4 linked regions of the Oryctolagus cuniculus genome follow. The protein of the gene in region 4 interacts with the protein of the main gene of each other region in a pairwise test. Links are inferred from orthologs where the notes say so. Each region holds a gene or a part of one and is shown on either strand. Other genes may lie near its edges.

Region 1 (4,862 bases), on a different chromosome or scaffold from region 4:
ACTGTGCCTGTCTCCCTCTGGGACCCCTTCACTCCTCTACCCGAGCCCCTGCAGGCCCCCGTACCAGAGCTGGCCACTGTCCACTCCTCCTGGTGCTGCTGCTGGTGCTGCAGGAAGCTGACTCGGCGGCGGAAGTGTCGGGGACAATGCGGGCAGGTGAAAGGCCCCTCTCGAGGCGCGTGGACGCGCCCGTGGCCCTCCAGCCGGGCAGCTGTCCGGAAGGCCTTGCCACAGATGCTGCAGCGATGGCGCTTGGGGTCCGTGTGGGTCCTGCCATGGTTCTTGAGAGACAGCAGGTTGGGCAGAAGCTTGGGGCAGAGGGAACAGGGGTAGAGCCCAGTGGTGTGGGCCTTCTGGTGGTTCAGCAGGCTGCCCGCATGGCGGTAGGAACGCCCACACTGTGCGCAGCGGAAGGGCCGCTCCCTGTCTTCAGCCGGCGTGGGCTGCATTCTCTGCCTCCCACCAGCCCGCTCGGCATTCTCCTTGGAGGGTTCTGCTGGGGCCTCCTGAGCCTCCCCTTGCTCAGGGAGCCCCGGCTCTCCTTGTCCCGTCCCAGCCGCCTCCTCCATCTGGGTTGGCACCTGACTCTGGTCCTGGGCATGGGTCTGTAGGTGGTTGGCCAGGTCATGATGGTACTGAAAGGCCTTGTCACAGTCAGGGCAGGCAAAGGTCTGGGCAGCTAGATGGTTAGTGGCCACAGGACTCAAGGACTCCCTGTAGCAATGCAGGCAATTGAGGCTGTGGTTCAAAAGGCCGTCGGGCTGGCTGTAGGCTTTGCCGCACCGGCTGCAGGAAGGAGGAGACTCTGGCTGGCGCTGGGAGCTGCCGTCCCCATCCTCCCAGCCATCCGTGTGATTCAGACTGGGTCCATTGGTCTGGCCATTACCGACGTGGCAAGGACTCCTGGGATCATCGTCCTCTGACTTGTCTTCTGCCTTGGTTGGCACCTGACCCGGAGGAACCCAACCTCCCTTGTGATTCACCAGGCCCCCGGCTCCATCTGCCTTCCCCGAGCCCCATGACAGTGGCTCTGTGGCTTCTGGACCCGCTGCCTGAATGGCGCTCTGACTGAGCTCCCCAGGCCTTGCAGCTCCAACCTCCTCCAGCCGCGGCCCTGACTCAGTCCCACCCGATCTGTCCTGCAGACCCTGGTTGTCAGCCAGGTTCCCCTTGCTGCCAGCGGAGCCATCTGGACCTCCTGGGCCAGTGGGCAGCTCTCCTTCGGTCTGTTGCTCATGCTCCCGCAGGTGCCGCTCCAGAGATCCCCGGCCAGGGAAGCCGCGACCACAGAGGGCACAGCGCACAGCTGCCCGCCGGGCCCGACCGGCCCGCCGCCGGCGACTCTCAGAGTGCAGCCTCTGATGGTCCTTCAGAGCCATGCGGTTGGAGTAGGTCTTGGGGCAGGCAGGGCAGCTGTACTGGCCTGTCTCGTGGCTGCGCCGATGGTTCAGGAGGCTGCCGGCATGGCGGTAGGTCCGGCCGCACTGCCCACACCGGAAGGGCCGATCTTCCCGAGCCAGCTTCCGGGCGCCCCCGCCGCCTCGCCGCTCGGCGTGCACCCGCTGGTGGCTGGCCAGCTGTTTCCGCAGGCGGAAGGCCTTCCCACACTCACTGCAGCGGAAGCGCCGGGGGTCGGCGTGGATGCGCCTGTGGTTCTTGAGGGACATGAGGTTGGAGAAGCCCTTGGAGCAGGCCTGACAGCCGAAGTGGCCCGTCTGGTGGCTCTGCCGGTGATTGATGAGGCTGCCGGCGTGCTTGTAGGAGCGGCCGCACACCTCACAGCTGAAGGGCCGCTCAGAGCTGGCCTCAGTCTGACAGCCTTTCTCGGCTGTCTCCAGCCTCGGCTCCACCTCCTCCTTCACCGTCGTCTCCTCCCACGCCTCTTCCTTCACCTGCGTCGCCTCTGCCAGGGGCTCCGCCTTAAGCTCCTCCTGGAGCTTCCCGGCTTCCGCCTGCTCCGCCCCCTCCTCTGCCACGACCTGGGGCTCCGTGCTGCCCCCTGCCTCCGGGAGGGGCCGCACCTGGGGCTCAGAGCCTTTGCAGCGGGGGTGGTTCCGCAGGTGATTCCGGTAGGCGGCCAGGTTGGGGTAGCAGCGGGAGCAGACGGGGCAGCTGAAGTCTCCAGTCTGGTGGATCTTGCGGTGGTTCACCAGGCTGCCCCCGTGGCGATAGGTTTTGCCGCACTGGTTGCAGCGGAAGGGGCGAGGCTGGGCCTCAGGCAGACTTTCTCCGCCCTGCACGCCAGCAGAGCCATCTGCAACTGTGCCAACTACTCCCTCCTCAGACTTCGCATCTCGACCCTCTCCAGAGACAGAGGTCTCCGTGCCCTCAAAGACAAGGTCTGTAACCATCTCCACAGCATCACCGGCTGCTCTCAAGGGGCTGGGCACCTTCTCCACGGTATTCTGAGAGTTCTGACTCTGGTGGTGGCGTTCCAGGCTCCCCAGGTCATCGTAGGTCTGACCGCAGCAGCCACAGATGTGCCCGTAGCCTGCTCCATCCAGCGCCTCCACCTCGCGCTGCAGCTGATTCAGCAGCTCTGCCTCCGAGACCTGCAGCGGAGGACTATGGGTAGAGGTTGCTTCTGCGGCTCCTTCCTCCTCCCCCTCCTCCTCCTCTGAGCCCTCAGTCGTGCCGGAGGAGTTGTGGGCCTGGCGCTGGTGAAGCCTATAGCCGGCCCGCCCAGGGAAGATCATGCCACAGAGGCAGCAGAGGAAAGGCTGTGCTGAGGCCACCTCCCCTGGCCCGTGGCTCTGGAAGTGGCCGCGCAGGGCTGGCAGAGAGTCAAACTCCTTTGGGCAGAGGGAGCACTGATAGATGCCTGGTGGGTGACAGGGCCTGTGGTCCAGCAGGCCAGTGGCATGGGGAAAAGAATGCCCACAGTCAGAACACGTGTGAGGGACCTCGGCCTGCCAGCCAGCGGCAGCCTCGGCACAGTGTGAAGAGGGCACCGGCTGGCCAGTGGTCACTCTCTCTCCATCCGCCGTGCTAAGGCCATCACAGAAGCGAGTCTCGTTGCATTCCCCACCGCCTGGGATGGCCAAGTTGTTGAGGTGACAGGCCTCCCTCCCTTCCAGTCCTCCCTCGGGGCCTTGGCTCTCTTTGTCACCCTGTGAACAGGGCTCACCCCTTTCCAGCCCACATTTCCCTGCAGGTTCTGCCTGCAGACGGTCCCCTTCACTTTCCAAGTTGCCTCCAGCCCCAGCAAGGCTTTCTCCCGAAGGCTCTTGGGCAGCGTGCAGGCCCTCGTCATCTGCCAACTCCTGGGCCCAGGTCTCCCCTGACGGGAGTTTGGCATCTCCTCTACCAGCACTGCCTGCCTGCTTCCGATGCCGCCTGCTCCGCCGCCGACTGTGGCGTCGCAAATGGTTCTTCATGGCAGCCATGGTGTGGAAGTGCTTGGCACAGGCCTCACAACTGAAGTCCCCCGTCTGGTGGGTCTGCCGGTGGTTGATAAGGCTGCCTGAGTGGCGGTAGCTCTTTCCACAGTCTCGGCAGGCGAACGTCCGAGGTGGTGATGCTGTGGTCTCTGCCCTGCTGTTCTCTCCTCCCCCGAGGCCATGGGTCAGGCTGTGATGTTCCAGGCTCTTAGGGTCTTCAAAGAGCATCCCGCAGATGTTGCACATCTGGGCTGCCGTCCTATCTGCTGCTAGGAGGGGGCCAGAGGCCGCCTCCTCAGGTGTGCACACCCGCCCCTGATCTGCTACCACAGGATGAGGGGGTTCTACCTTAAGGTGGCTGGGAGGACTCTCAGTCCTTGGGTCTGCACTTCGGCGAGCAGCTTTGCAATGCACGCGCACGTGGTTGCGCAGGGCCATGAGGTTGGGGTATTTGCGGGGACAGAGTGAACACTGGTACTCCCCTGTCCGATGGCTGTGCCGGTGATTCACCAGGCTCCCCCGGTGCCGGTAAGCCCGGCCGCACTCATTGCACTTATAGGGCCGATGATCCAGGGTGGGGGGCGGGACCTCTTCCTCTCTGTGGGTGCTCTCAGCTCCTAGCAGGGGAGCTGGCGGCACTGATGGCTGCCCATCTTCCCCCATTCCTTGTCGGGGCCTGTGATGGGCACGCACATGGTTTTTGAGGGCAGCGGCATTGAACAGCTGTTTAGAACAGACTGAGCAAGGGTAGACCCCTGTTTGGTGGCTCTTGCGATGGTTGATGAGGCTCCCGGCGTGGCGGTAAGTCCGGCCACAGTCCCCACAGCGGAAAGGCCGGTACTCCTCCAGGCCACTCTCGTCCAGCTCCCCGGAGCCATTCAGCATCTGAGTACCAGGGAGCCGGGCCTGGCTGGTCTCATCCGTGTGCCCGTTTGTGGTGGGCGGCCCTTTCTCCTCCCATGGCTGCTCCTGCCTTTCGCCCTCATGGGACTGCTGATGCTCCAGCAGCTCCTGGGGGAGCCGGAAGGCACGAGGACAGCGAGGACAGTGGTAAGGCCGATACTGGGCATGGAGTCGGGAGTGGTTCTTCATAGCCATGAGGTTAGAGAACTCCTTGAAGCAGATGCTACAAGGGTAGACGCCCAGGGTATGGCTCTGGCGGTGGTTGGTGAGGCTCCCGGCATGCTTGTAGGTCTTGCCACACTGACCACACTTGTAGCGCCGCTCCTCCTCCGCAGGAGGGGACTGGGGAGGCAGCTGGCCCTCTGCGAAGTTCACTACTGACTCAGCCAGATACTGTTCCAAGTTGCTAAGGAGGCTGCTGGCTGGGGTGGGGAGAGGTGGGGCTTGGGCGGAGTTGGTGGTCGGCCTCCAGCCCTCTGTGCCCTCCTCAGGATCCCGCTGGCTGTCCCAGCTTTCTTTTTGTCTGGCGGGTGCATCTTCCCAAGTGCCTGCAGGCGCCCTGGGGTCGGGTCCAGACTC
Region 2 (5,112 bases), on a different chromosome or scaffold from region 4:
TGCAGGGCCCAAGCACTTGGGTCATCCTCCACTGCACTCCCGGGCCATAGCAGAGAGCTGGCCTGGAAGAGGGGCAACCGGGACAGAATCCGGCGCCCCGACCGGGACTAGAACCCGGTGTGCCAGCGCCACAAGGCGGAGGATTAGCCTAGTGAGCCACGGCGCCGGCCCAGAGTATGCATTTTCATCATCTCAGTTCATCAGTGTCCCCTTCATCTGAGACAGAGCAGGACTTTGCCCCCCGTACTGTGATGGGAACGGAGGAGTACGGCAGCCAGCTCGCCACCAGCCCCCGAAGTGATACTCTTGTGGAATGAGCATTGCTTAGGGAGAAGTTCCCTGGGCATCTCTCCCAGGAGGGGTCCTTGACAGAAAGACAAATATCTGTGTTCTTGGAGGGAATGGAGCCCTGGGACCATGAGACGGGTCCGCCAGTCTTGGTTCCAGCCACCAGCATCAGGCTGACTTCCTGTTACTCCACCTTGGCCAACCAAGTGAACAGTGAGCTCCAACTCACCAGTGAACTCCTCAACATTTCTGGTGGCCCAGGGTGGGGGTGCTCAGGACCCGGGTTAGGATGCCTGGGCCCCCAGTCAGAGAATCTGGGGGCCACCCTTGGCTCTGGCTCCTGACTCCAGCTTCCTGCTGACACAGACTCCAGGAAGCAGCAGCAGTCATGACTCAAGTCATTGTCTTCATGCTGCCCACGGGGCAGACCTGGATTCAGCTCCTAGATTCTAGCTTTGCCCACAGCCCAGCCCCAGCCGTTATGGACATTTGGAAAGTGAACTGGAAGATGAGAGTGCCCCCCCCATCCTCTTATCTGTCTTTCTCTGTCTCTCTACCTCTGCCTCCTACAGGGAAGACAGTTGCTTTAGTAACTGGGCCTCTTCCATCGCCTCACCAGTGTGAGTCATGGGGGCTCATGGGTGGACCTGCTATCAACATTTCTATGTATTTTGTTTGGGCAGCGAAGTTATCCGCACACCTAAGCTTCAGGGTCTCTGGTGCCAAAAACCGTGAAGACCAAACTCACTGGAGTGGCATTCAGGGACTTCCGGAAGCTGGCTCCACCTCTTGTTCTAATTTCTCATTTCTCCACTCTCACATGCTGCATAGTCCATGCTCCGGATCAAGCTGCACTGTGCATCTATAATTCCTAGTTATGCCTTTTTGCTAATGCTGTTCCTTTAGGCAAAAACCTTGGCACTCATGGCTCTGTCTAGCAGGCTGAGTTCATCTCTCCAGACCCAGCTCAAGTGCTCACTTTGTGGCTTCTCCACCTCCCCTACAGTTTCCTTCTCTCTCCTCTGAGCATTCATGCCTGCGATCCATCCCTTGCCACCTTATACCTGAGACTTATATTCCAAGCCCCAGTTCTCTGTATCTCTTGCTGGACTGTGAGTCCTAGAAGACCTTGTCTTTGTATCCCAAGCTGCTCCTCCGTGCATGGTGGGTAACTTAAAAAAATAGACAGACAGTGAAATGGTCATTTACTGAGCTCACCAGTGACAGGTGCTTTCCAACTTTGCTTTTCATCCTCACACTGCCTTGCTGAGTCAGATTTTATGATCACAGAGCCCAGAGAGGTTCAGTGACTCACCAAGGACACACAGCTAGCTGTGGCTGGGTGAGAATTTGAGCACAGGTCTGTCCAGCTCTCCCAATAGGCAATGCTGCCTCCTACTCCTCCTCCCCTGCTCAAGTCCACACCCAGGGCTCTGAGAGGTGGGAGATCCCGAGCTTCTCCCCTGACTGCAGCCACTCAGTTTCCTGTGCTAAGTGGGCCTGGGTGGGAACACAGGGCCCCAGGAGTGTCTTCTCAAGGGTTCGGCTTTGGGCTTCCAAAAAAAGCATCTGGTGCAGAGGCAGCACATGGTGTTCCCTGTTCCCTGGCTTGGCTCCCGTGGAGAGACGTCCCCCGAACACGGCCTTGTGTTTGGGCTCACGGGAGGGAAGTGTTAGTTTCACTAAAAACTGTGGGATTTAAGCAGTCCAGATGCACTGCCCAGCATCCATGTAACAAGAAGGTGCACTGTGCAAAGGAGAGAGGGCTTCCTCCCCATCCTGCCAGGGACCACCACCCATGACCTGAGGGCTCAGGAACACAGCTCAGTCCTGGCCCTGGGAGGGCTGTAGGCTGCTGGCTGCCGCCAGGCCATGGTTTCAGCGTGGGCCAGTTGAGGTCAGAATAGAACCAGGAATGGGTTCTCTTGGGACCACTGGCACCCACTGCCCCAGCAGTGGGAGGTGGCGGCCGTATGCTTGGGAGTGTGCGTTAGCAGACTGCTCTTTGGGGTGGGCGGCAGGGCAGCCGAGAGGGTCCTGGCAGCCATGGCAGCAGGTGCCGGCTGGCGAGGTGGGGAGGAAGAGGTCAATGGCAGACACTGTCTTAAGTTCACGAGTGGACATTTGATAGAACCCCCAGAGGGCCTCCCAGCCATACCTGGGAACAGTGTGCGATGAAAACACTGCCACAGGAGGTGACCAAAGAACCAGAGACATACTGCGCGTTGACAGTGATGCTATTGTCACACACACACACACACACACACACTGCCATCTGTTCAGGCCTGGGAGGACACCAGTTCAGGTGCATCCTTATGTATCTTACTGCTTTTATTTCATTCATTCATTTCTTCTCTCAACAAATACCTATTAGACCCGTGACAGAATTTTATCATCTACACAACCATCAGCAGCACCTGATGCAAATTACAAATTCACCACCCTAGGTTGAGGTATTTTGGCTCTTAGTTAACAATCATAAAATAATGCCTCAAGAATTCAAGGATTAGACAATAACTTTTGTTCTATCTTCAGAGTTATTTGTATGTGTTGAACATTTATTTATGTTTTTTACATTTTTACAAAGTAAGCAAAGTTAAACTGCATTCCACTACCCACTGAATAAATCCCCTTTACTGAAATGTCATCATCACCCAAAAGAGAGGACTGTCATTCATTATGCGGGTTGTGCGGGTGCCACATTTTCTGCTGGCCTCGGTTCCTCCCAGCCAGGTCAGTCACAGTCTGAGGACCCTGTGCCATTCGTTCCCTGCATGATCGGTGAGAATTAGTAAAGGAAGGCTTGTCGCGTCCCTAGTACCACATGAAAAGCGGGCTGTGTTAAGCTCAGCCAAATGCCTGCTGGACAATGAAGAAGTTGCCTACCATTTCTTCATTCTGAATGTCCCCCAAAACCCCACATTTGTGTGTTACAGCAGCCAAGCCATGGAAACAGCTGAAGTGTGTGTGAATGGATGAACACATAAGGAAGTGTGCTGCACACCCACACACATACACACACACACACAATGAAATGTAACACTACATCCATGTTGGTGCAACGCGGCTCATCCGTGTTGAGCCTAGAGGACGTTATGCTAAGTGGAATGTGGTGACACAGACAACTACTGCATGATCTCACTTTCATGTGGAATCCGGAAAAGTCAAATTCATAGGAAGAGGAGCCTGGTGGGCCCCAGGGATCAGGCAACAGGGCAAAGTGGGAGGCATGGATCCAAGGGAAAAGATCCATGCATTTCTAGATTGGTACGTTCTGGAGTGCTGACAGGCAGTGTGGTGGCTACAGTTACTAATAATGTGTGATGTACTTGAACTTGCTGAGTATCGTACACACGCACACACAGAGTAACCGTGTGAGGTGGTGGTGATATGCTAGTTAGCTTGATGGCAGTAGCTATCTCACAATGCACGTGTATGTTAAAACATCATGTTATATACCTTTAATATGCAGCATTTTTATTCATCAATTGGACGTCACTCCAGCTGGGGTGCAAACCTTGCTCCGGTCTCCTCACAGGACGGCCACGCATCTTCAGGATGCTAGGAGAAACACTTTAGCTTAACCCCAGGAAGACCCTACCTGCCCCCAGCCTAACACCGTCTGTGTTTTTGTTCTAAACCAGGGCCCTGCACCCGCAGAAATAGCTCACAGTCCACCCACAATCATCCTGACCGGAGATGTCAGTTCACCGGAAGGAGAAACCGACAAAAACCTGGCCAACAGGTACACGTCCCGGGTGCCTGATTCTTCTGCTGTGATGCACAGTATCTCCTACAATATGGGGATCAGGTTGTTCTGTTTTTTTAAATATTTTCTTCTTTCTTGTATCATTTTATTGGTGCAAATACAACCAAGCAGTTTGGGATTTTTACAGTAACTTTTTCCCCAAATGAGTTTCCCTCTCCTGCATCTGGCCCTTTGCACTCTGCGAGGCTGTTTGAAATTCACAGCCAGGAAGTTTCTGCTACAGACCAGGTATCTGCAGATGGTTGGCAAGATGTGAGTCTTTGACTGTGGGATCCTGCCCCTGGCTGAAGCAGGTTCCACGTGGAAGACGGTCTCCTAGGAGGGACGTGGGCTCGCATGCTCCGGGATGTCACTGCTTTGGTTTTACGTAGCACTAACCCATTCCTTCATCTGCCTCAGGGGTAGGGAATCTTTACTCCCAGAAGGGCCACTGGGCATTTATAGTATCATTCATGGGCCATACAAAATTAGCAACTTAAAAACCGGCCTGCTCCCAGCTCTCTGCTGTGGCCAGGGAGTGCAGTGGAGGATGGCCCAGGTGCTTGGGCCCTGCACCCCATGGGAGACCAGGAAAAGCACCTGGCTCCTGGCTCCTGCCACCGGATCAGCGCGGTGCGCCGGCCGCAGCGCGCCGGCCGCGGCGGCCATTGGAGGGTGAACCAACGGCAAAGGAAGACCTTTCTCTCTGTCTCTCTCTCTCACTGTCCACTCTGCCTGTAAAAAAAAAAAAAAAAAAAAAAAAAAAAAAAAAAAAAAAAAACCGGCCTGCTCAGCCGACCAGTGCTACAGCTCAATAGGCTAATCCACTGCTAGTCCCGGTCGGGGCGCCGGATTCTGTCCCGGTTGCCCCTCTTCCAGGCCAGCTCTCTGCTGTGGCCCGGGAGTGCAGTGGAGGACGGCCCAAGTGCTTGGGCCCTGCACCCGCATGGGAGACCAGGAGAAGCACCTGGCTCCTGGCTTCAGATCAGTGTGGTGTGCCGGCCGCAGCGGCCATTGGAGGGTGAACCAACGGAAAAGGAAAAAAAAAAAAACAACAAAACAACACCAATCTGCTA
Region 3 (5,112 bases), on a different chromosome or scaffold from region 4:
CCTAAATTGTGTAGGTCTCACCTGTGGCCACAGTTCTTTAGAGGGCTGCTGCCTGTGGCTGTGCAGGATGTACACTGCACAACTATAGAGGAACACTTCATACCAGAGTCGGTACAGACTCCCATAGTTCTCAGCGGTGCCGGCTTCCTTGCTTCCCTAGTACCTGGTACCTACTCACAGTGCCTGCTCCAGAAGTGTGCAAATGAGTGAATGAAAGAGAGAAGGTAACAACAAGTTGAAGTATTGCAGTGAGATGTCTGACAGTCAGAGCTGGGGTGAAAATTCAGACAGATTTTGACCCAACAAAATCGAAGCTGTGTTATTATAGGTGCACTTAGTGAAACTAGCCCATAAGCCCACCTGGCGTATCTTGCTTACCTACCATGAAGATTACCTTTCATCCTGTGAACTGAGGTCATGGTTTTCAAGCACATCACATTTCTCAGACATCACGGACCACATGGTCCTGCGGTGCCAGATACCCTTAGTGGACAATGTGAAGACAGGTCTAGATTCCAGACACCGCCCATCACAGTTAGCCTAAAGATGCCTTATTTTCCCTGAAGTGAGTCATATAATTTATACAAAGGCAAATAAAGCCATCTTCTTAAATGTTTTTATATTTTTTTCATCTACTTGAAAGGCAGAGCGAGAGAGACAGAGACAGCTAGGAAAGAAAAATCTTTCCATCTGCTTATTCACTCTCCAGGTGCCCAAAACATGCAGGGCTGGGCCAGAATGAAGCCAGGAGACCAGAACTACATCAGGTCTCCCTTGTGAGTGGCAGACACCCAAGCACGTGAGCCGTCATCTGCTGGGCCCCAGGGCACATTCCCAGGAAGCTGGATCAGAAGCACAGGAGCTGGGCCTCAAATTTCCCCTCTAGTATTGGATGCAGGCATCCTAAAGTGGTGGCCTAATGCCTGCCCCAAGCCATCTTTTAAAAAGAGCAAGCCTTTTACCAAGGATAGCTAATCAGTTAGAAATATGCCAGGGTGGCCAGCAAACTATGTCACCCATGGGAAGGTGTTGCCAAGGTAAACAGGAAGCTTGACACTTGCAGTCCAGTGCTTCCAGATACTCTGCCAGAGACCACAGGGCGGGGAACTGCCCCATTCAGGAAGGGTGGGCTTCCGGGTGGACATGAGCCAGGAAGTGGCCCAAAAGGCAGCCCCACGCGGGCAGTCATGGGCCTACCAAGCTTTCAAAACCGCACCCCAAAGCACAGCCCCATAAACTTCAACAGCAAGAACACTGCACTTGCGCCCACCAGGCTGTTGTCCCTGTGACTCCAGCAGCGAGATGATCATGCCAGGGAGGTACTATGGGCAGGACACCTTCCTAGGCTGGGCTTGAACTCTCAGCTGGAGTAGCTCCCAGGGAGCAAGCACAGGTCTCTCCATCCTGCACAGCAGGCCCCATGGGTCAGTGCCAGGCATATAGGAAGGAGCCCATAAGGGCTGGTTAAATGAATGAATAGAACAGCCCAGTGAACTAAGCAAAGCACAGGAGCGCAGTGGTACTGGGGGAGTTTGTAGGGAAATGCTGCAGTTCTTTCAGGAAATACTGAATGGCATGCAGGTGGCAGTGCAGCATATTTTCCAGTGGGCCCCTTACCCCTTTGAGACTTGACTTTCTGTCCTCTAGTAGATAAACAGGAAGTCAAATGTTCCCTACCCGGCTGCACCTGCTCAGATGCAGGACCAAGGTTTCCTAAAACTGAACAGCTTGGAAACCATTCCTAACCTTGGCCACTAGGGAGCTGCCCTAGTAGTTCTTGCACCTGACCTTGAAATCAGAAAATTACAGATCGTGGAGTCAGTTGTATTAGAATTTGGCTTCTCTCCCTGCCAAGGCCACACGTGTCATCTCTGAACACCTTAATGCAATAATCACAATTTCATTGGTTCATGCATCCATTCATTCTGTGTGTGTGTGTGTGTGTGTGTGTGTGTCTGTGTATGCTCCCAGGTGAGCTTTCGGTGGAGGAGGCACAAGACCCGTTCCTGGTTAGCATCCACATCATCGCGGACCCAGGGGAGTCGCGGCCCCTGCAGGAGGCCATTGACAAGGTCCTGGCCTGGATCCACCCGGACCTCCCGCTATTCCGGGTGTCAGAGCGGCGCTCTAGCGGGCGGCGGCGGAAGTCCCCCAGGGGCACGCAGCCGGCGCTGGCCGTGGTGCTGTTCCTGCAGGAAGAGTATGGCGAGGAGCAGATCTTGCAGTTGCACCGCACGCTGCGGCGGCCGCCCTGGCGCCACCACCACACGGAGCGCGTGCACGGCAGGTTCCTGCCCTACCTGCCTTGCAGCCAGGACTTCTTCACGCTGGCACCCGGGACTCCTCTGTGGGCGATCCGGCCCGTGCACTATGGCAAGGAGATCGTGCGCTTCACCATCTACTGTCGCCACGACAGCTACGCCGACAGCCTGCGCTTCTACGAGCTGATTCTCCGTCGGAGCCCCAGCCAGAGGAAAACCGACTTCTGCATCTTCCCCATCTTCTCCAACCTGGACCTGGACATCCAGTTCTCCCTGAAAAGGCTGCCCTGCGACCAGAACCCGGTCCCCACCGACTCCTCCGTGCTGGAGTTCCGAGTAAAGGACATGGGCGAGCTGGTGCCCCTCCTGCCCAACCCCTGCAGCCCCATCAGTGAGGGGCGCTGGCAGACGGAGGACCACGACGGGAACAAGATTCTTCTGCAGGTACCCCGGGGCGCGTGTTCATCCGTCCATCCCTCTGTTTGTCTGTCCGTTTGCCTTTGGGAGCCTAGAAGCCAGTAGGTTGGCTCTGCCAGCAACCTTCCCACTGGCTGCAGAGTGAGCCTTAGGACAAAGGGAAGATGGGGACTTCTGGGTGGCTCCCAGGCCAGGTCAAGCTGTCCACACCGCATCCACAACCCGGAGGGGCTTGAGAGGCCTTTCCAGCTGGTACTTTGCATTTCAGGTGTCCCTCGGCAAAGCCACGCCCAGTTCTCTTCTGTCACCCCTTGATGGAGCAGCGCAGACCCCAGGGCTCCTGGAGATTGAGTGAGCTTCTAACCCCCTGGGTCGAGTACTTATTAAGGGAGCTTTCCAGAATCTAGCCCCTCCCCGTAGGGAGTTGGCACCAGGTGTTCTTAGGACGCCCATGGGTTTGATGACTGGGAGCCAGTGCATGTTCTCCTCCTTCCCACACCGGCCTGTCCTGCCTCCCACCATTATATTCCTAGGCAGAAGGCTGGGCTCACTTGAAGAAGGAGCCAGTGAGGGAGGCATGGGGAAGGAGTGTGTGGATACATTATAAGGAAGCACACTGCCCCAGGTCTTCCACAGCTAGCACCTTGGCTTATTACCAGCCCTTCCCTCTCGTCTCCTTCCAGGGGTTGTCCCAGACTCATTAGAGATCACGAACTACTCTGTAGAATAGAATTGAACAGGTGGATGACAGGACCTCTCACCCCTGGCCCTACCTGAGACACGCCTTCCAGACCCACGCCTTCTGGAATTAACAGACAAATCCATTCCTTTTTTTTTTAATATTGTTTTTATTTAGTAAATATAAATTTCCAAAGTATAGTTTATGGATTACAAAGGCTTCCCACCCCCATAACTTCCCTCCCACTCGCACCCTCCCATCTCCCACTCCCTCTCCCATTCCATTCACATCAAGATTCATTTTCAATTATCTTTATATACAGAAGATCGATTTAGTATATATTAAGTAAAGATTTCATCAGTTTGCACCCACACAGAAACACAAAGTGTAAAATACTGTTTCAGTACTAGTTATAGCATTACTTCACATTGGACAACACATTAAGGACAGATCCCACATGAGAAATAAGTACACAGTGACTCCTGTTGTTGATTTAACAATTTGATACTCTTGTTTATGGCATCAGTAATCTCCCTAGGCTCTAGCCATGAGTTGCCAAGGCTATGGAAGCCTTTTGAGTTTGCCGACTTAGATCTTATTCCGACACGGTCCTAGTCAAAGTGGAAGTTCTCTCCTCCCTTCAGAGAAAGGTACCTCCTTCTTTGATGGCCCCATTCTTTCCACTGGGATCTCACTTGCAGAGATCTTTCATTTAGGTCTTCTTTTTTTTTCCCAGAGTGTCCTGGCTTTCCATGCATAACTACTCTCGTGGGCTCTTCAGCCATATCCGAATGCCTTAAGGGCTGATTCTGAGGCCAGAGTGCTATTTAGGACATCTGCCATTCTACGAGTCTGCTGTGTATCCCGCTTCCCATGTTGGTTCGTTCTCTCCCTTTTTGATTCTATCAGTTAGTATTAGCAGACACTAGTCTTGTTTGTGTGATCTCTTTGACTCTTAGACCTATCAGTGTGATCAATTGTGAACTGAAGTTGATCACTTGGACTAGTGAGATGGCATTGGTACATGCCACCTTGATGGGATTGTATTGGAATCCCCTGGCACGTTTCTAACTCCACCATTTGATTGAGCATGTCCCAAATTGTACCTCTCCTCCCTCTCTTATTCCCACTCTTATATTTAACAGGGATCACTTTTCAGTTAAAATTTAAACACCTAAGAATAATTGTGCATTAATCACAGAGTTCAACCAATAGTACTAGAACAAAAAAAATACTAAAAGGGATAAAGTATTACATTGTACATCAACAGTCAGGACAAGGGCTGATCAAGTCACTGTTTCTCATAGTGTCCATTTCACTTCAACAGGTTTCCCCTTTGGTGCTCAGTTAGTTGTTGCCGATCAGGGAGAACATATGATATTTGTCCCTTTGGGACTGGCTTAATTCACTCAGCATAATGTTTTTCAGATTCCTCCATCTTGTTGCAAATGACTGGATTTCATTGTTTTTGACTGCTGTATAGTAATCTATAGAGTACATGCCCCATAATTTCTCTATCCAGTCTACTGTTGATGGGCATTTGGGTTGGTTCCAGGTCTTAGCTATTGTGAATTGAGCTGCAATAAACATTAATGTGCAAACCGCTTTTTTGTTTGCCAATTTCATTTCCTTTGGGTAAATTCCAAGGAGTGGTATGGCTGGGTTGTATGGTAGGGTTATATTCAGGTTTCTGAGGAATCTCCAGACTGACTTCCATAGTGGCTTAACCAGTTTGCATTCCCACCAACAGTGGGT
Region 4 (5,112 bases):
AGGATGCTGGCACCTGAGGGGGTAGCTTAACCTGCTACCCTAGAATGTTGGCCTCAAACACAGTATATCTTAAGGAGTTCTATGAAAAACAAAAGCATTTAAAGCATAAAGGTCCTTCCTTAGCACTGAATGTTATCTCCTTTGTTCTAAGATTTATTTCACTAGTTCAGTCAATAATATGTACACTTGTATACACATATACCAAATATTAAAAAGTTGATGAAAAAAATTGAGATAAGTTTATTTTAGAGCCGAAGTATTTTGAAGTCATACTTTTTTCATAATATTCGTTTTCCATGAACTTTTTAAAGTATGCGGTATATATGAGTACATAATTATAGAGATGAGACAGCACTTTTTTGCTAAACAACATTGTCAGTTTTACTAATAAAGTGTCTCTTCCAGTTACCTTTTCTCTCTAATTGTTTTTCAGTGTCAGCCTTTTCTACTAATAAGAAGGCAGTAGTGCAGGAACTAGATCCGGTTGATCTGGATAACAGAAGTTTGAAAACAGGATTGCAATGTAGCTTGCAACACGACTGCATGGGTGGCGTGACAGCTGATTTCCAAGGGGACTCTTGGCAAACATGAGCTTTCCCTCCCTTTCTTATGAGTAATATTTGCGTCAGATTCAAAAACAAGCCTCCCGCCAGTCAGTGTGAATCAAATCATAATCTCCAACTCTGAAAAAAGATGGCCTCTCCTGCCCCTGATGTAACTCTGCCTTTCTAGATTGTAGTGGCTGCTGAGAGGAAGCCCCTAAGTCCACGGGTTGCATTCCTCTGCAGCCCTCTGAGAAGTTAGATTTACTACACCACTCAGAAGCGTAGAGAATTCATTGATTCGATCCTTGGATGCTTTATAATCCAAATTTGATGGTAATCATGTGGCATTCAGTCAGTAGGGCATTGGCCACTGGGTTAAATTTTGGCTCAGGAATGTATTTAAATGAGAAAAAAAATACCTTATTAGGGAAAGCAATGTCTCATGGACTTTTCATTCTATTTTCTATCTTTCAGAGGTTCATTTGAAGATTCTACAACCAGATTTTACACAGCATGTGTGGTAGAAGCTTTTGCCTATCTGCATTCCAAAGGAATCATTTATCGGGACCTCAAGCCAGAAAATCTCATCCTAGATCACCGAGGTTATGCTAAATTGGTCAGTGCATTTCACACATGGTTTCACACATACTTGTTCATACAGCTGTGTTTATTTGCTACCATTAACATTTGTTTTCCTTTTCAAAAAGCGGGTCCTGGAATTTTAGTTTAACTAAATATTCTTTCAAATTATGCAAAAGTGAAAAAAATCAACACCCTGAGCAAAACATGCTTTCAGGTACGCACTGGGAAACACATTTGCAGCAGGTGTTCACAGACCTGCAAGAGCTTCCCAGAGTCCTCCTTTCTAATCAGACTTCTACCATCCAAGGACAATAGATATTCTGTTATGGGAAACTGAAGCATTTTAATATTTAAGAATAGCACTAATGGAGAAAAAAATGAGCTCTATAGCTCATTTAAAAATAGCTAAAAATAGCTTTATAATAATATATAATCCAGGCTATGATGATGATGGTAACTGATGAAAAGCTCTAAAGATTTACTGTAGAAAGGAAGTTCTCTTCCTTAAAAATGGACAACTTTCGTGGACTTTGGATCTGAAATGCCTTCTTCTATTTTTAAACTTTGGGAATTTTAATCCAGAGTTGGGTTCTTATTTATTATTATTATTATGACAGGCAGAGTTAGACAGTGAGAGAGAGAGACAGAGAGAAAGGTGTTCCTTCCGTTGGTTCACCCCCCCAAGTGGCTGCTATGGCTGGTGCGCTACGCCGATTGGAATCCCGGAGCCAGGTGCCTCTCCTGGTCTCCCATGTGGGTGCAGGGCCCAAGCACTTGGGCCATCCTCCACTGCACTCCCGGGCCACAGCAGAGAGCTAGACTGCAAGAGGAGCAACCAGGACAGAATCTGGCGCCCCAACTGGGACTAGAACCCGAGGTGCCGGCGCCACAGGTGGAGGATTAGCCAAGTGAGCCGCGGCGCCAACCCAGAGTTGGGTTTTTAAAGAAATCAAATCAATGGCAGTAAACTGTAGACTCCCTCCAATCTTTTAAGGAAAAAAATAGATTGTCTGCATTTGAGGCCCCTCTCTCAACAGGTTTCCAGAAAAATGAAGGATGTATTTTCATTTTATCTCTGTGTATGTTTGCCAAGGGCAGTATTTTTGGTATAGTAGCTATGTCACTCACCTCCTTCAACAATCCAGTTGGCTCTCAAATACTTAATACAAAATGAATTATCAACTTCATCAAGTCCAGAAGAAATCATGTGTATTTAGGGAAGATGCTAAAAAGGCCTAAATTATAATTTTTAGTAAAGACAAAATGCTTTGATTATTCCACAACCTCTGTTGTCATACAGAAGAGAAAAATAAGTATTTCCAGAAACAAAAGGTCGCCTTTATTTTAATGATGTGAATTATACCCAGTTCTTAAGTTTAAGCTTTTCCCACTGAGGACGTTTGTTTGTTTGGGATGTAGATGATTCTGTTTGAAGATTATAATGACTTGCACTTGTTTTGATTTTTTTTTTTTAAGTATCATCAGTGTCCTTCAGTAAAATAACTTATTGTTTTACATCTTAATCATAAATGGCTTAAGTAGCTTGTTTTCTTCCTTTGTAAGGTTGATTTTGGCTTTGCAAAGAAAATAGGATTTGGAAAGAAAACATGGACTTTCTGTGGGACTCCAGAGTATGTGGCTCCAGAGATCATCCTGAATAAAGGCCATGACATTTCAGCCGACTACTGGTCACTGGGAATCCTGATGTATGAACTTCTGACTGGCAGGTATGGACACTCACAGCAAACTTCTAAGACAAGCAGACCACAAAAAACTGCAACACACACTGCTTTTAGTCTGATAAACTCATCTTAAACTTTTTTTTTTTTTTATTGACAGGCAGAGTGGACAGTGAGAGAGAGAGACAGAGAGAAAGGTCTTCCTTTGCTGTTGGTTCACCCTCCAATGGCCGCCGCGGCCAGCGCACTGCTGCCGGCGCACCACACTGATCCGAAGCCAGGAGCCAGGTACTTATCCTGGTCTCCCATGGGGTGCAGAGCCCAAGCACTTGGGCCATCCTCCACTGCACTCCCGGGCCACAGCAGAGAGCTGGCCTGGAAGAGGGGCAACCGGGACAGAATCTGGCGCCCTGACCGGGACTAGAACCCGGTGTGCTGGTGCCACAAGGCGGAGGATTAGCCTATTGAGCCGCGGCGCCGGCCTCATCTTAAACTTTATTTCACCAGGTTTCAGTAACATACTTCCACTAAACAAGCTTTAAAATTGGCCAAATGAGAGGCGGCTCACTAGGCTAATCCTCCGCCTTGCGGCGCCGGCACACCGGGTTCTAGTCCCAGTCGGGGCGCCGGATTCTGTCCCGGTTGCCCCTCTTCCAGGCCAGCTTTCTGCTGTGGCCAGGGAGTGCAGTGGAGGATGGCCCAGGTGCTTGGGCCCTGCACCCCATGGGAGACCAGGAGAAGCACCTGGCTCCTGGCTTCAGACCAGCGAGGTGCGCCGGCCACAGCGGCCATTGGAGGGTGAACCAACAGCAAAGGAAGACCTTTCTCTCTGTCTGTCTCTCTCACTGTCCACTCTGCCTGTCAAAAAAAAAAAAAAAAAAAAAAATTGGCCAAGTGAGGGCAATCAATGAAACATCAGTTTTTGGTCTTATTGCTATTCATTATACATATGTGATTGTGAAAGACCCAATGTCTACCTTTGAGGTATTTGGGTCTAGTCATTTAGCCAGCAATGTAAGTGGTAGCTAAATAAAATATCTAGGATCAACTTTATATAGAAGAGGACCTGTCAACAATTGTTAGGTCTAAATGAAATGTGAATGCTTTGCACATTTTTTGTCTGATATTACAATCAGCAACAACTACAAAAGACAGTAGATAAACCACAAAGTATAATACCACCACAGGCTTTTGAAGGACCAATATTTAGAGGAAAATTAATATATCACCATCACATATGCTGAGGACAGGAATAATATGATTAGGATGATCTATGGAGTTTAGGAGAGGGCTAGGTTTGTCCAGGGAGGCTTTTGAGGAAGATAAGCCTGCAGCTAGTCCTAAAATCAAGGTATAGAAAGAAAAGGAAAGGGCATTCCTGAGAGGCCCGGCTTAAAGCGATAGATAGTGAGCACAGGCATGGAGAAGGTGTGTGTAGAAAATAATGGGAGATTACGAGAGCCCCATTTCATGGATCATCACTGCTTGTGCCTGAGGGTCTGGATTCCAACTAGAGAGGGAACTAGTGAAATTTTCAGATAATGGAATGAGTGATGTGTATTCCAGCTTTTTTTAAAAAAAATATTGCAAGTTATATATAGAGAAAATTGGAAGAGGGTTGGGAAGGCCAATTTGAAGATCATTCCAACAATTTAGGTCTAGGAGGCAGAGAGCATACAACAGGGTAAAGGGTAGTGGAAAGGAAGGGGTAGGTTTTAATGAAGATGACTTGGTTGCGATGGTAAAACTGAGAGGAGTAATGTATAAAACACTTATACTAGTACCACTACCCCTGCTAAAAGCAGTTTTGCTTGTAAAAATGCCCATACATGGAAATTCAGTAGTACATCTGAAATGTTGATGTGAACTTCAAATAAATTATCTATGATCTAGCCCAATTTTGTTGAATATTCTCCTATACAGAGGAAATTGTTTTAAATGTTTTACAGATTAAGTGGGCATACAAATATTTGGAAGATTTGCAGAATAGAAAAAGTAAAATTTAGCATACATCCATATTTTGATGGATGGAAAGACAGTAATATTTATAATTGGTTTTTATGGCACACTGAAAAGACTTAACTAAGGAAATTAAATTTTAACTATTAATAACCAGGCTGAAATTTTTTGTTCTTCCTTATATGCTTAGAAATTTTTTAAGTAATAATAAAAAAGATGAAAACCTTATTTTTAAAACTAGCATATACTAAACTATCATAAATTTTTAGTAAGAGAATACTCCTTTGTCCCTTAAAGCAGAAATTTTGCAGGCCACAATATCTGAATGGAATGTAATAAAAACTAGA

The links.
Region 1: the proteins of PRKG1 (region 4) and ZNF646 interact in binary tests that used the Homo sapiens proteins (3 or more experiments, as listed by UniProt). The two-hybrid records come from large-scale screens. The link is inferred for Oryctolagus cuniculus from reciprocal best matches to the Homo sapiens genes PRKG1 and ZNF646.
Region 2: the proteins of PRKG1 (region 4) and IRAG1 interact in a two-hybrid assay, tested with the Homo sapiens proteins (2 studies listed by BioGRID). The link is inferred for Oryctolagus cuniculus from reciprocal best matches to the Homo sapiens genes PRKG1 and IRAG1.
Region 3: the proteins of PRKG1 (region 4) and FAM124A interact in binary tests that used the Homo sapiens proteins (3 or more experiments, as listed by UniProt). The two-hybrid records come from large-scale screens. The link is inferred for Oryctolagus cuniculus from reciprocal best matches to the Homo sapiens genes PRKG1 and FAM124A.

The regions. Positions count from the first base shown.
Region 1 is NC_091450.1:6,094,685-6,099,546, forward strand, and holds part of ZNF646 (zinc finger protein 646), read right to left. Parts: coding exon 65-4,862; intron 1-64. UniProt on the Homo sapiens protein: May be involved in transcriptional regulation.
Region 2 is NC_091432.1:55,530,519-55,535,630, forward strand, and holds part of IRAG1 (inositol 1,4,5-triphosphate receptor associated 1), read left to right. Parts: intron 1-3,932; coding exon 3,933-4,099; intron 4,100-5,112.
Region 3 is NC_091440.1:70,608,179-70,613,290, forward strand, and holds part of FAM124A (protein FAM124A), read left to right. Parts: intron 1-1,971; coding exon 1,972-2,705; intron 2,706-2,946; coding exon of another isoform or gene 2,947-3,029; intron 3,030-5,112.
Region 4 is NC_091446.1:45,324,419-45,329,530, forward strand, and holds part of PRKG1 (cGMP-dependent protein kinase 1), read left to right. Parts: intron 1-1,019; coding exon 1,020-1,161; intron 1,162-2,690; coding exon 2,691-2,854; intron 2,855-5,112. UniProt on the Homo sapiens protein: Serine/threonine protein kinase that acts as a key mediator of the nitric oxide (NO)/cGMP signaling pathway. GMP binding activates PRKG1, which phosphorylates serines and threonines on many cellular proteins.